Alligator mississippiensis: one gene and its partners. The protein of the gene in region 1 interacts with the protein of each later gene in a pairwise test. Links are inferred from orthologs where the notes say so. Each region holds a gene or a part of one and is shown in the gene's direction. Other genes may lie near its edges.

The links.
Region 2: the proteins of GIT1 (region 1) and HMOX2 interact in a two-hybrid assay, tested with the Homo sapiens proteins (2 studies listed by BioGRID and IntAct). The link is inferred for Alligator mississippiensis from reciprocal best matches to the Homo sapiens genes GIT1 and HMOX2.
Region 3: the proteins of GIT1 (region 1) and PFDN1 interact in binary tests that used the Homo sapiens proteins (3 or more experiments, as listed by UniProt). The link is inferred for Alligator mississippiensis from reciprocal best matches to the Homo sapiens genes GIT1 and PFDN1.

What each region holds. Positions count from the first base shown.
Region 1 is NC_081837.1:1,504,168-1,507,912, reverse strand, and holds the start of GIT1 (ARF GTPase-activating protein GIT1), read left to right. Parts: upstream 1-901; 5' UTR 902-977; coding exon 978-1,029; intron 1,030-3,532; coding exon 3,533-3,666; intron 3,667-3,745. UniProt on the Homo sapiens protein: GTPase-activating protein for ADP ribosylation factor family members, including ARF1.
Region 2 is NC_081836.1:23,784,242-23,787,986, reverse strand, and holds the start of HMOX2 (heme oxygenase 2), read left to right. Parts: upstream 1-1,570; 5' UTR 1,571-1,679; intron 1,680-3,745.
Region 3 is NC_081832.1:43,038,300-43,042,044, forward strand, and holds the start of PFDN1 (prefoldin subunit 1), read left to right. Parts: upstream 1-1,248; 5' UTR 1,249-1,321; coding exon 1,322-1,354; intron 1,355-1,683; coding exon 1,684-1,850; intron 1,851-3,745. UniProt on the Homo sapiens protein: Binds specifically to cytosolic chaperonin (c-CPN) and transfers target proteins to it. Binds to nascent polypeptide chain and promotes folding in an environment in which there are many competing pathways for nonnative proteins.

The sequences.
Region 1 (3,745 bases):
CTTGTAGTCCCGCAACCGGGCGGGGCCGGGGGCTGCACCGCGCCGCTCCGCCCGGCCCCGGCTCCGGCTCCGGCTCCGACTCCGGCGCCGCCTCCCGCGGGCAGCGCCGTGCTGCGCCCCGGCTCGGGCAGCCTTGGCAGCGCCGTGCCCGGGCCGTGCCAGCACGCGGGGCGGGGCGGGGCGGGCGGGCGGGCGGGGCCGGGCCGGGGCATCCCCCGCCGCTGGCGCAGGGCGCGGGGCTCGGGGCGCGGGGCCAGGGGCAGCATCCTCGCGGCCGGGCCCCGTGCTGCAGCGGCAGCGGCCGGGAGGAGCCCTCTGCCCCGCGCAGGCTCTGCGGCATCCCCGGCGCTGTCGTGAGCCGCGAGCTGCGGGGGCTGCGGGCAGGGCCGGGCCGGCATGTCGCGGTGCTCACCCGGGCGACAGTAATCGCTGCGGGGCCCCTGGCCCTGCACCCACGGCCCGGCCCGGCGTGTCCCCCCACCCGCCCCGCGCGGGCGCTGCCCGGCCCCACCCCGACACCCCCGCGCGCCCCCCACGGCCCCCGGCGTCAAGTCACGCGCGCCCACGGCGCGTGGCAGGCGAGGGCTGCAGCCCCCGTGGCACTGCCAGGCCGTGCGCGGGCACGGCCGTGCCTCCTGCCACCCGCACCCGCAGCCGCCTCCCGCTCGGGGCCGGGCCGGGCCGGGCCGGCGGGACTGGGGCTGTGGGCAGGCGGGTGCGGGTGCGGGTGCGGGGCCCGCGGGCACGGCTGGGCGAGGCGAGGCGGGGCGGTGCTGTGCGGTGCGGTGCGGTGCGGGGCCGGCCCGCCGCAGCCCCCCCCGCCGGCCGGGGCGGAGCCGGGATCGGGGCCGGGCCGGGCGGCTCCTCCTCCGGCGGGGCCGGGCTTGCGCCGTTTCCTGCAGGAGCCGAGCCCGAGCCCGCAGCTCCCGGCCCTCGGCCCGGCCCGGCCCGGCCCCGCGCGCCCGCCCGCCCGCACCATGTCCCGCAAGGCGCCGCGGGCGGAGGTGTGCGCCGACTGCAGCGCCCCAGGTAGGGCCCGGCCCGCCCCGCCCGCAGCCCCCGCCGCAGCCGCAGGAGCGGGGCGGGTCCGCCTGCGTGCCGGGCACCGCCGTGCCTGCCCGCTCCCCGCCAGCCCTGGGGCCCCCAGCCACCCCGCACCCACCCCGCCACCGGTAAGGGACGTGCCCGCGGCCGCGCGGGCAGGCGGTGGCAGAGCGCGGCCCCGGGCAGGAAGGCGGGGCCTGCCCTGGGGAGCACCGCACAGCTCCTGGCACCGCACGGGCACGGGCACGGGCACTGACCCTGGTCACCTGCCGCCAGGCCATGGCCCGTGGGAGCAGCTGCCCACGGGCAGGAGCAGGTTGGCCGGGGGCGGAGGCCCCGCTTCTCGCCCGCCGCAGAGCAGAGCCGTCTGTGCCCGGCGGCCTCCCGTGGGCAGCCGCGCAGAGGCACAGATGCAGCCGCGTCACTGCCAAGCGCGCTCGCGCCCGCGCCATCTGTGTGCCCGCCCTGTGCCAGCCGCACGCCCCGAGCCCATCGCCTCCAGTCCCGAGAGCGCCGGTGCCCAGGGTGCCAGGGCAAGGTGGCGCAGCGGGTGCCCACGGCTCAGGGCCAGGGTGAATGCCTCTGTGGCCCCATAGCCTGTGCCCTGTATCCGAAGCCCAGCTGCTCCCCCTTTGCCCGCGCGCCCATCCAGAGTCGCTCTGTCCGGTTCCCAGCAGGAAGGAAGCGCGGGGAGGGCCTGGTCCCCGCCCCGGCTAGGCTTCCTCTGCAGGGCTCAGAGGCCAGCGATGCTGAGGCCTGTGCCAGCCCCCCCAGGTGCTACCATGCCACCCAGGCCCCGAGTCCTTGAGGAACCCAGGCATCCTCAACAGGGAGCTGGCCCGTGCGTGGGCTGGGGCTGGGCAAGGCCCTCGGGCAATGCCAGGGTTGCATCGGCCCCATGGGTGCCTGGCCTCCGCGGCTCCCAGATGCCCAGCGGCTGCTCACGGATCGGGGGGCCCTGCTCCATCCCAGCCCCAGGCCTGCACTCAGCACCATGCGGAGCCACCTGCCCCCTGGCATCAGGGCTGTGGGGTGGGAGCGAGGGCACCGGGTGGCGGGGGACCTGGGGCTGGGGCTGGCCGAGCCGTGGGGCAGCCCTGGGCTGGGGAGGGGGAGGCCACGTCTTGCCTGGGCCTGCGCGGGGCCCTGCGGCTGCAGGAAAGAAACCTTGACCTGTTTTCCTGCGGCTCCGGCAGCTGAGCCAGGCCTGCGGCGCCTCGGCCTTTGCTTTGCTAATTGGGTGGTTTGAACTTTGCAGGCAGCGTTTGCACAATGGGCCTCGCGCCCAGAGCTCCTCTCCTCGGGGCGGGGGGCAGGGAGGGGGCAGGGGGCTGTGGCCCGGGGGGCCTCCAGGCTGACACCTCCGTATGACGCCAGGGGTTGGGGTGAGGGGCATCGGCAGGGCTGGGGGGCTGCTGGTCGGAAGCGAGGGGCACCCGCTGGGATGGGGGGCTGCGGGGCAAGAGCGAGGGGCACTGCAAGGCCTGGGGGGCAGCAAGCCAGGAGTGAGGGGCACCACAAAGCCTCAGGGGCCATGGGTTGGGGGTGAGGGCAACTGCAAGGCTCGGGGGGCACAGGTTGGGGGTGAGGGCACCACAAGACATGGGGGGCTGCGGGTCGGGAGTGAGGGGCACCGACAGGGCTGGGGGGGCTCCAGGCAGGCCGATGCCCGGGCTGGGGGAGCGGAGCCGCGCTCCGGCCAGGGCAGCACCAGCTCCGGCTGCAGCACAAAGCGCCCGTTCTCCCCGTGACCTTTCCACTGCGGCGGCTGGGCCGGGCCGTGCGGCTGGCGTGTGCCCGGGGGCTCCCCCACAGCGAGGCCCATGCTGCACCCCAGTCCAGCGCGTGGGGCGGCCGCTGCGCCGGACGCTGGCGAGGCCGGAGCGGAGCCGTGCCCGGGGGCACCGGCCGCCCTCCCCCTCCCCGGAGCCGAGTGCTCGCGTCTCAAACGGCCCTTTGTTCTCCGAGTGCCAGAGCGAGGACAAAGGCTCGGGGCTGGCGCTGGGGGGGCTGGGCCGGACTGGGGGGCAGCGAGGCCAGGCCGGGCTGCGGGGCAGGTGGGTGAGGGGCAGCTGGCACTGGCACGGGGCCGTTGCAGCTGGGCTGGGAGCCGCTGGGCCCGAGACCCTGGGGGTGCCGGCTGGGCAGGGGGCTACTTCCCGCTCCCCCAGGGGCACGGGGCTGGTGCCCCTCAGGGCCAGGCATCGCCCCCGCACGTGCCCGCCCCAAGCTGGCGGCCCCCGGGAATGGGCGCAGCATCGTCCTGGGCACAGATTGAGGCTGCCCCCCCTGCGGGGTACTCCTCCCCAGCACCCCCGTGCCAGGTTGCTACGGGAACCTCTAGGTTTCCCTAGTTACAGCGCCGCAACTCCAGGGCCTGGTGGTTTCCATAGCAACCATGCCCAAAACCGTGGGGGGACCCAGAATGGGCACGGGGCCGGGGGATGCTGGGTGGCCCCCGGGGCCCTGACGCCCGCCTGCCCCGCAGACCCCGGCTGGGCCTCCATCAACCGGGGCGTGCTGATCTGCGACGAGTGCTGCAGCGTGCACCGCAGCCTGGGCCGCCACATCTCCATCGTCAAGCACCTGCGCCACAGCCCCTGGCCCCCCACCCTGCTGCAGGTGGGTCGCGCCCCCCCAAGCGCGCGCGGGGCCGGCGGGGCGTGAGCGGGCGCCCCCCCGAGCCCCTGGCCCCCGCCCG
Region 2 (3,745 bases), on another chromosome or scaffold:
TTATTCTGGTGGCCCTCTGTACAGCTCCTGTGACTACTCAGTGTCACTTACTACTGGCTCCTGCTTGGAAGGTTATCTTTACTGCAAGGGCTGCAAATGAACATTTTTCTTCTAGTGAAAATTTAGAGGAAATGTGATTGGATAATCTGTTTTGAGTGGATGCGTGGGTTTCACTGGGCGTCATTATTATGAAGCACTGAGTTTTAATAAAAAAGGCTTTTTTTATTTAGAAATTCACAAATCAACTTTATTTAAAAACCTTAACTTCAGATCATTATACCAAGGAGCTGGCATTTATTTGCTCAATGCTTTAAATGTCAACCACATTGACATTTATAGCATTCTTGGTCTGTGAACTCCTAAGAAATGGAATGAAGCTGTTTCTGTATCTAATGTATGAGGGCATGAGGCATGGGGAGTGTGCCAGTCCTATTTCCAATGTCACTCCTATCTGCCAGGAAATTTTCCAGAACTTTTAAGTCCTATCTCTTCCCTACCAAAAGGGACACTGTGCGCTTGCTCTTCCTACTTGCAGAAGGCAGACCATCACCCTGTCTCACCATTACAGGGTGACTGGCAGTGTCTCAGAACTGAGCTGCACAAATCAAATTACCGCTTTACTTCTGTTTTGTGATAGACAGCAGAAGAAGTGGAGGATTTGCTCAGCCTACCTTTGATGATTCCTTTCTCCAGCTTTCCTTAGTTTCTAGGTTTTGAACTGGACTTGGAGGGCACAGGACACTCTTGGAGGGTTAACTGCCATGCTCTGCATTTACAGGAAAACTGTGGCAGGCAGGCACACTGTTCCCATGCCCAGGGTAGGTGCTCCAATCAGTCTGTGTTCACAGGGTTTTTTCATGCAGCTCATCAGAGCAGCAACTTGGTCCTGAGGGAGCAACATGTAACCCAGAATAAGAAATACCACAGAACCCAGCTGGTGTCACTCAGACAGTGTGTGTACAAGATAGCAAAAAAGCAAATCCTGGTCTGTGTCCAAGTCGACCCTGTGTTTGTCCAGGAATAAAAAAAATCTCTTGGGATGGTTGGGACACACATCACCCTTCTAACCAGGGTTTGGTGAGCCGCTGACTGCACTGCTGCTTTTCGGCCATTGATTCAATGCTGTTATCCTGGGATAAACTCTGACCAACTCTTATCTCCTGGGGAACCTTTTTTAGGATTTATCCCAGGACAACAGAGACAACCGTCTGCCTGGCCATGTCACTTTGTCCTGAGATAAAATGGTTTCTCCCTGGATTAACGCCACGTGTGCTTGCGTCTGTAAAGGGCAGAAACGGGAGAAGTGGGCCCAGCAGGGACTTCGTCCCCCGCACTTTATCAACTGGTTTCGGTCCGTGTGAGGGCAAGGCCCCTCGGGCCGGGACTTGGCGCTCCGCCCCCAGCGGGCGGGGAGGTGGTGGCGCGCGCTGAGGGAGCACGTGCACTGGCACGTGGATGAGACGGGGGTGAGGCTCTACGGCCCGGGGTCATCGTCAGGACCCGGTTCTGTTGCGTCACGGCTCCAGCTACCAATGGGAGGCCTCGTCGGCGCAGCCATTTTATTTACTCACGAGTTCGCTGCGGCTTCGCCCCTTCGCGATAACTAATCGCGGCGGTGACTGGCGCGTGTCCCGCCTCTTCCGGCCGCGCTGGGGGCGGTGGCGCTTGCGCTAGCGGCGGTGAGTGCTGCGGAGGCTCAGGGGAGCCGGGGCCGGGGCCGGGGCCGGGGCCGGGGCCGCACGACCCGCGGGTTGGGCGCGGGGCGGGGGCTGCCGCTCTTCCAGGAGCCGGCGCGGCCGGGCGCCGTGTAGCCGCCCCGTGGTCCGCTCCGACCGTCCCGGCGGGGGCCCCAGTGCTGCGGCCGGTCCCTTTGCAGCGCCCGCGGCTCGGCTCGGCCCGGCGCTGCCGGCTGTGCCGGGCCTCGGGCCTGGTCCCAGCTCTTCCCTTCCCCTGCCCTTCAGCCTGGAGCTGGCCGTGTCCGGCCGGCCGGCCGGCTCCTCTGCGCCTTCGCTGTGATTGCTCGAACATGTGTAATGACTTTATAGCTGGTTTCTCTCCAGCTTCGGCGCAGGCCCTGCCAGCTCCCAGCTGCTGGGCAGCCCGCGCAGCACAGCACGGTGCAGCCAACGTGGTCCCCGAGCTGCGGGGGTGCGGGGTGCTCCAGGTAGCAGCTGGGAGACTGTAGCTCCCGCGATCTCCCCGCCATTGTGACCCCCCAGCTGTGGGGCACCAGGGCTGCAGCTGACGGGGCTCTTAGTCCCGGCTGCACCCCACATGCAACTGTACTGAGAGCCCCATCAGACCTAGGACTCTCAGTCCCAGCTGTGTGGGGTCCCTGTAGCTGGGAGCCCCATCAGCAAAGCGGACTCCCAGCCATGGAAGCCTGCTTTGTACTGATGTTGGAGGAGCCCAGGATCCAGTTGTCCCTATACCAGCAATAAGGTGTGATTGGATCTAATGTGCGATGCACTATGGGGTGGATCCTGCATTAGATCCAGTTGTGTCTATACCTGCATGTGTAGTGGGGCCCTGTTTCCCCATTTTTTATTCCAAACATGAGGAGTTGGCCAGCCTCACTGGTGGTCATGCATGGCCTACTCATTGATCATTATTGTTTAAAGAACTCCAGTTGGCCTGCCGGTGAAATCAGAAGTCTAACTTTTTTTTTTACCTGCCACTGAAATTTGGGCCTCTTCTTATTGTGCGGGTGCTTGATTGTAGCTGTTACGATGACTGTCATTACTGCTGTCCATACAAAGCTCTTGTATTAGCATGAATATGTTAAAAGACAGCCAACCTGTGGCTACACTACGAGTGAGAGCCCATTTTTGTGAACTGTTCTTTGTGCATATTGTATTGGAACTTTTATTCCCCTTTCCTTGTTGAGAACTGACACTTATCACTGGGTCCAGTTCAGTGTTAACTTGTGTACTGCAGCATAAAATGGATTTGAATGCATATAAGGTTTCTTGCTACATGACAGCAGAGATGTGGGTTTTCCAGAAAATTTTGAATTGGAAAATTTCCAATGCCCTAAATAGAGTGTGATCTGATTTAGCATGTTTATTTGACGTGTATTTAGTAAACAAAACTAAAAAAGTACCCCATTTTAATTTTATGTCCCAATAGCCACAAGTATTTAAACTGAAATATTTGATTAAGAAAAGAATTGAATATAGTGCACTTAATATGGTTTAAATGTTATATTCAAACAAATTCAAAGCTTCATGTAGAAAGAAATTATTTTTATTGCAATACTAGCAACAATGTAAAGACAATACACAATAGCATGTGCTTCCCTGACATTGTTTGTTTAAATTTAAGGAAAAAAGGCATTGAAAACTGTTGACACACTAATTTGAGCACACCCAAAGAACTGTGCATGATATGCTGTGCTGTGGTTTTGATTTGACCTGCACAGCTGATTAGGTGAATTCATACCTTGATTTTTGGTTTGGCTTATGTGAGTGTATTTACCCTCCTGTTTACAAATCAATTAAACATGTATGTACTCTCTCTCACACTTCCTGGGGATAATCGCCTGAAAAACATTAATTACATCTTTGAAACTGCTAAGCTTGCCTAATATTGTATTGGCATCCATTCATTGTTACTAATGAATTTTATGAAACAATGAATTTTTAGAAATGGAAAGTTTTCCATGGTAAAATAAAGCACTGGAAAATTTTCTGCCCCACATCTCTGCGTGGCAGAGCTTCAAATTGGAGAACTGACAAGTAAGGAA
Region 3 (3,745 bases), on another chromosome or scaffold:
AAGGCAGAAAATGGTCCCTTTGATGCCAACCGTAAAACTCACGCTGACTTCAATGGGAGCAGAAATAATAACCCCTTGGACTTTCTGCTCCTCAGGCAGCGATCTAATCTTCACATTGGCTGATACAACCCTACACATGTATGGCATAATACACTCATTAATAATTACATGTACAATCATATGATACCACTTCTGGGCCCTGGTTGGTTGATGAACGTGATACATACCCAGAAATAGATACCATTTTTGTTACTCGCCTGTCTCAAGGGTATAACAGCATATTTCAATAAGCAATTGCATATTTTCTAAGTCCACAGCGCATGGACAGTAGCAGCTCAAGCTTTGGCCCGGCCCCATACTCAAATCCAAGAAAAAAGCAATTTTTCTCTTTCTGATGTCTGTGTGCACGTATGATTGTGTGGAGATGGCAAGTAAGGCTATGGGAGCAAAGGAAGGGTTTTTCTTTGCTTATCTACAAGGGTTCTAAAAGCCCTGCTCTTCCTGGTATTGGACTAATATTTACTGAACCATAATTTCCTTGGATCAGTCCATATCTTTTTAAAAAATAGATACTATTTTTGTTACTTGCCTGTCTCAAGGGTATAGCAGCGTATTTCAATAAGCAATTGCATATTTTCTAAGTCCACAGTCCAGAGTGCACAAACATCCTCTGTTTTATTGTCTGCTTACTTGCTACACTACACAATTTGTTCATTTGCCAGGAATCCCACCGCTGTTAGCAGCACCGAGCCAGGGTTGGGTCTACCACAGAAACAATCCTGCAGTGGTCCGGGCGCGAGCACAGGCTCGGCTCCTTGGGGACACGCAGCGCTGCCCTTGGGCTTCAGGGGCTCCACGCTGATGGCCACCAGGAAAGACTCTGCTTCAGTGCACAGGGCAGGACCCGAGCTGCAAGCAGGCCAGGATCTGGCCTTAACCCCTGCGGCTGCTGCTGCGGAGAGCGCTGCAGGCCCAGGTCACTGCTAGGTCGCCTGTAGCTAAGTCACACCGCAGAAAGCAGCGGGAGCAGGTGCAGGGCGGGGCGCTCAGCCGCTCCCGCACCTGGCGAGTGAGTAGAGAGCCGGGGCCGGGGCCGGGGCCGGGGCCGCGCTGATGGGCGAAAACCTCCACCTCACGCCCGCGCTGCGCCAGCAGCTCCTGGACCTGATACGCGGCCCCGCCCAGCTCCGAGCGGGGGCGGAGCTCGGCCTTGCTCCTCTCTCGGCCGGGGACAGGCTGTAGTAGACTTGGGCTCAGCGACCCTCACTGCGCAGGCGCGCGGACCCCAGACACGCGGCTGCACCGCGCAGGCGCAGGCAATATGGCGGCGCCTGTGGACCTGGAGCTGAAGAAGGTAGCGGCGCCGCGGCAGGGTCCGTCCTGCTCCTCCCGGTTGGCCCATGGTGGGGGAGGCTGCCTGCGAGGGGGCGCTCGCCCCGGCAGGAGTCGTCCGTCCTCTTCTGTCCCCTCCCCTCCCCTGGCGCAGCCTGTGCGAGGCTGCGGAGCGCTGCAGGCGGGCGGGGGCGGCCTGGGCTCGCGGGCCGGTGTCGGAGCAGCGCTGGGTCCTGGCCTGCGGGCTCGCGGCTGCCGCTGCGATTTCTGAGGGGAAAGGAAACCGCTGCGGCGCAGAGCCTGGCCCTGTTCCCCCCGGCCCTGACTGCTTCTCCCGCGCTTCTCCCTTAGGCTTTTACTGAGCTGCAGGCCAAGGTCATTGACACTCAGCAGAAGGTGAAGCTGGCAGATATGCAGATAGAACAGTTGAACAGGACAAAAAAGCACGCGCACCTCACGGACACTGAGATTATGACGCTGGTGGACGAGACACGCATGTATGAAGGTGTAGGAAGAATGTGAGTAACTTCTTTTGCAGATGAAGAAGTTAGGCATGAGTTAAAGGGTCTTGTCCTTCAAGCCTGCTGGAACCTATTGTTTTTTTGACTTGGATTGCTTTTAGGCTTGCTTCTTTCCATAGGTGACAGTGAACAATCAGGAATATGCATATGTTAGTTGCTCTCTGTCAGATCTTATCTGCTTTATTTAGCCACATCCAAGACAACTTTGAATTTAAGATGACCCCTCCCCTCAGTACTTTGATTCTGTACATGGAAAATTATAAATTTGTTGTAGTTCTGCCCCCCCCATGTAGACTCTCTTTATGGGAGGATCATCTTAATCCTCTTCCCCCCCCATCCCCCACACATGCACACCTCCATTTCTGTGGCAGGGAAAAGCAGCAGTCAGGAGACAAATGGTGGTAGGGAAAGTAATTGGGAAGGGGAGGGATAACAGGCTTCGTACCCACCTGCACTTGTCTCCTTGCCACTTCCCCTATGCGGTGATTCTGGCTCCAGTTCTGGCCCAGGACATGGAGCACACAGTGGCTCTGGCCCTGGCCTGGCCCAGTGGTGGCAGTAGCAACTCTGGCCCCTTGCCTGAGTCAGGGCTGGAGCCACCAGCACCCCTGGTGCTGAGTGTTCTCCCCTGTATGCTCCTCCAGGTTGTACACCTTGAGGCTTACCATTTACCCACTCCACTGTTGCACAAGCTACCCCAGCCTGACAGCAGGGCAGTAGCAGCTCAAGCTTTGGCCCAGCCCCATACTCAAATCCAAGAAAAAAGCAATTTTTCCCTTTCTGAAGTCTGTGTGCACATATGATTGTGTGGAGATGGCAAGTAAGGTTATGGGAGCCCAGCAAAGGAACCGTTTTTCTTTGCTTGTCTACAAAGGTTGTAAAAGCTCCGCTCTTCATGGTATTGGACTAATATTTACTGAACCATAATTTCCTTGGATCAGTCAGTATATTTAAAAAAAAATAGATACCATTTTTTGTTACTTGCCTGTCTCAAGGGTATAATAGCGTATTTCAATAAGCAGTTGCATAGTTTTGTTTGCCAGCTTCACTCATGCAAGTTCACAATTGCATTTAGGGTTTCATGAAATTTATAATCTCTACCAGCACAGTTGGTAAATACCTCATGAACACTAATTGCAAAATACAAATTTGTGAGAAGTTTATATAAGCCTGTCCAACTCTAGTGAAGTTCTTTATGTTGATGCTATATGGAGGGAATCACAATTGTTAATCTAATCCTTGCATTCATGGCCTATATTTTTGCAAAAGCTATAAAATTGCATCCTGCTTATTAGCATGATAATTAATATATATGAAAGATTTATTTTTCTAGAATTTTTTGAAAGAATATATGGAGTGCAGTTTGTGCCAGAATGTATGATCTGCCCAGGTGTGCTGGGTTGGAAAGAAGGAAAGTATAATCTCTATATATTGGAATGACTTCAAAACCAACAAAGCTTAATTTAAGCTAATGCATGTTTTGATGAAACTCTAACAATGTACTTCTGTTGTTGTGATCACACCACCTTCATAAAAGATTCCCCAACTGATTTGAGTTGATAATGCAGCTGGGTATGTATACAGGGGTGTAGGTTGTAGCCGTGTTGGTCTAAGGACATAGGCAGACAAGGTTTCTTGGGTGACTCTGATTATCTTTTATTAGACCAACCCAAATAGTTGGAAAATAATTATTAAGCAAGCTTTCGGGTTCAAAAACCCTTCGTCAGGCTAAGGAAGTTTCAGCAGTTAGTGTGTGCTCTTCCATCCAGGAAGAGCGCATACCAACTGCTGAAACTTCCTTAGCTTGACGAAAGGTTTTTGAACCCGAAAGCTTGCTTAATAATTATTTTCCAACTATTTGGGTTGGTCTAATAAAAGATATCAGAGTCACC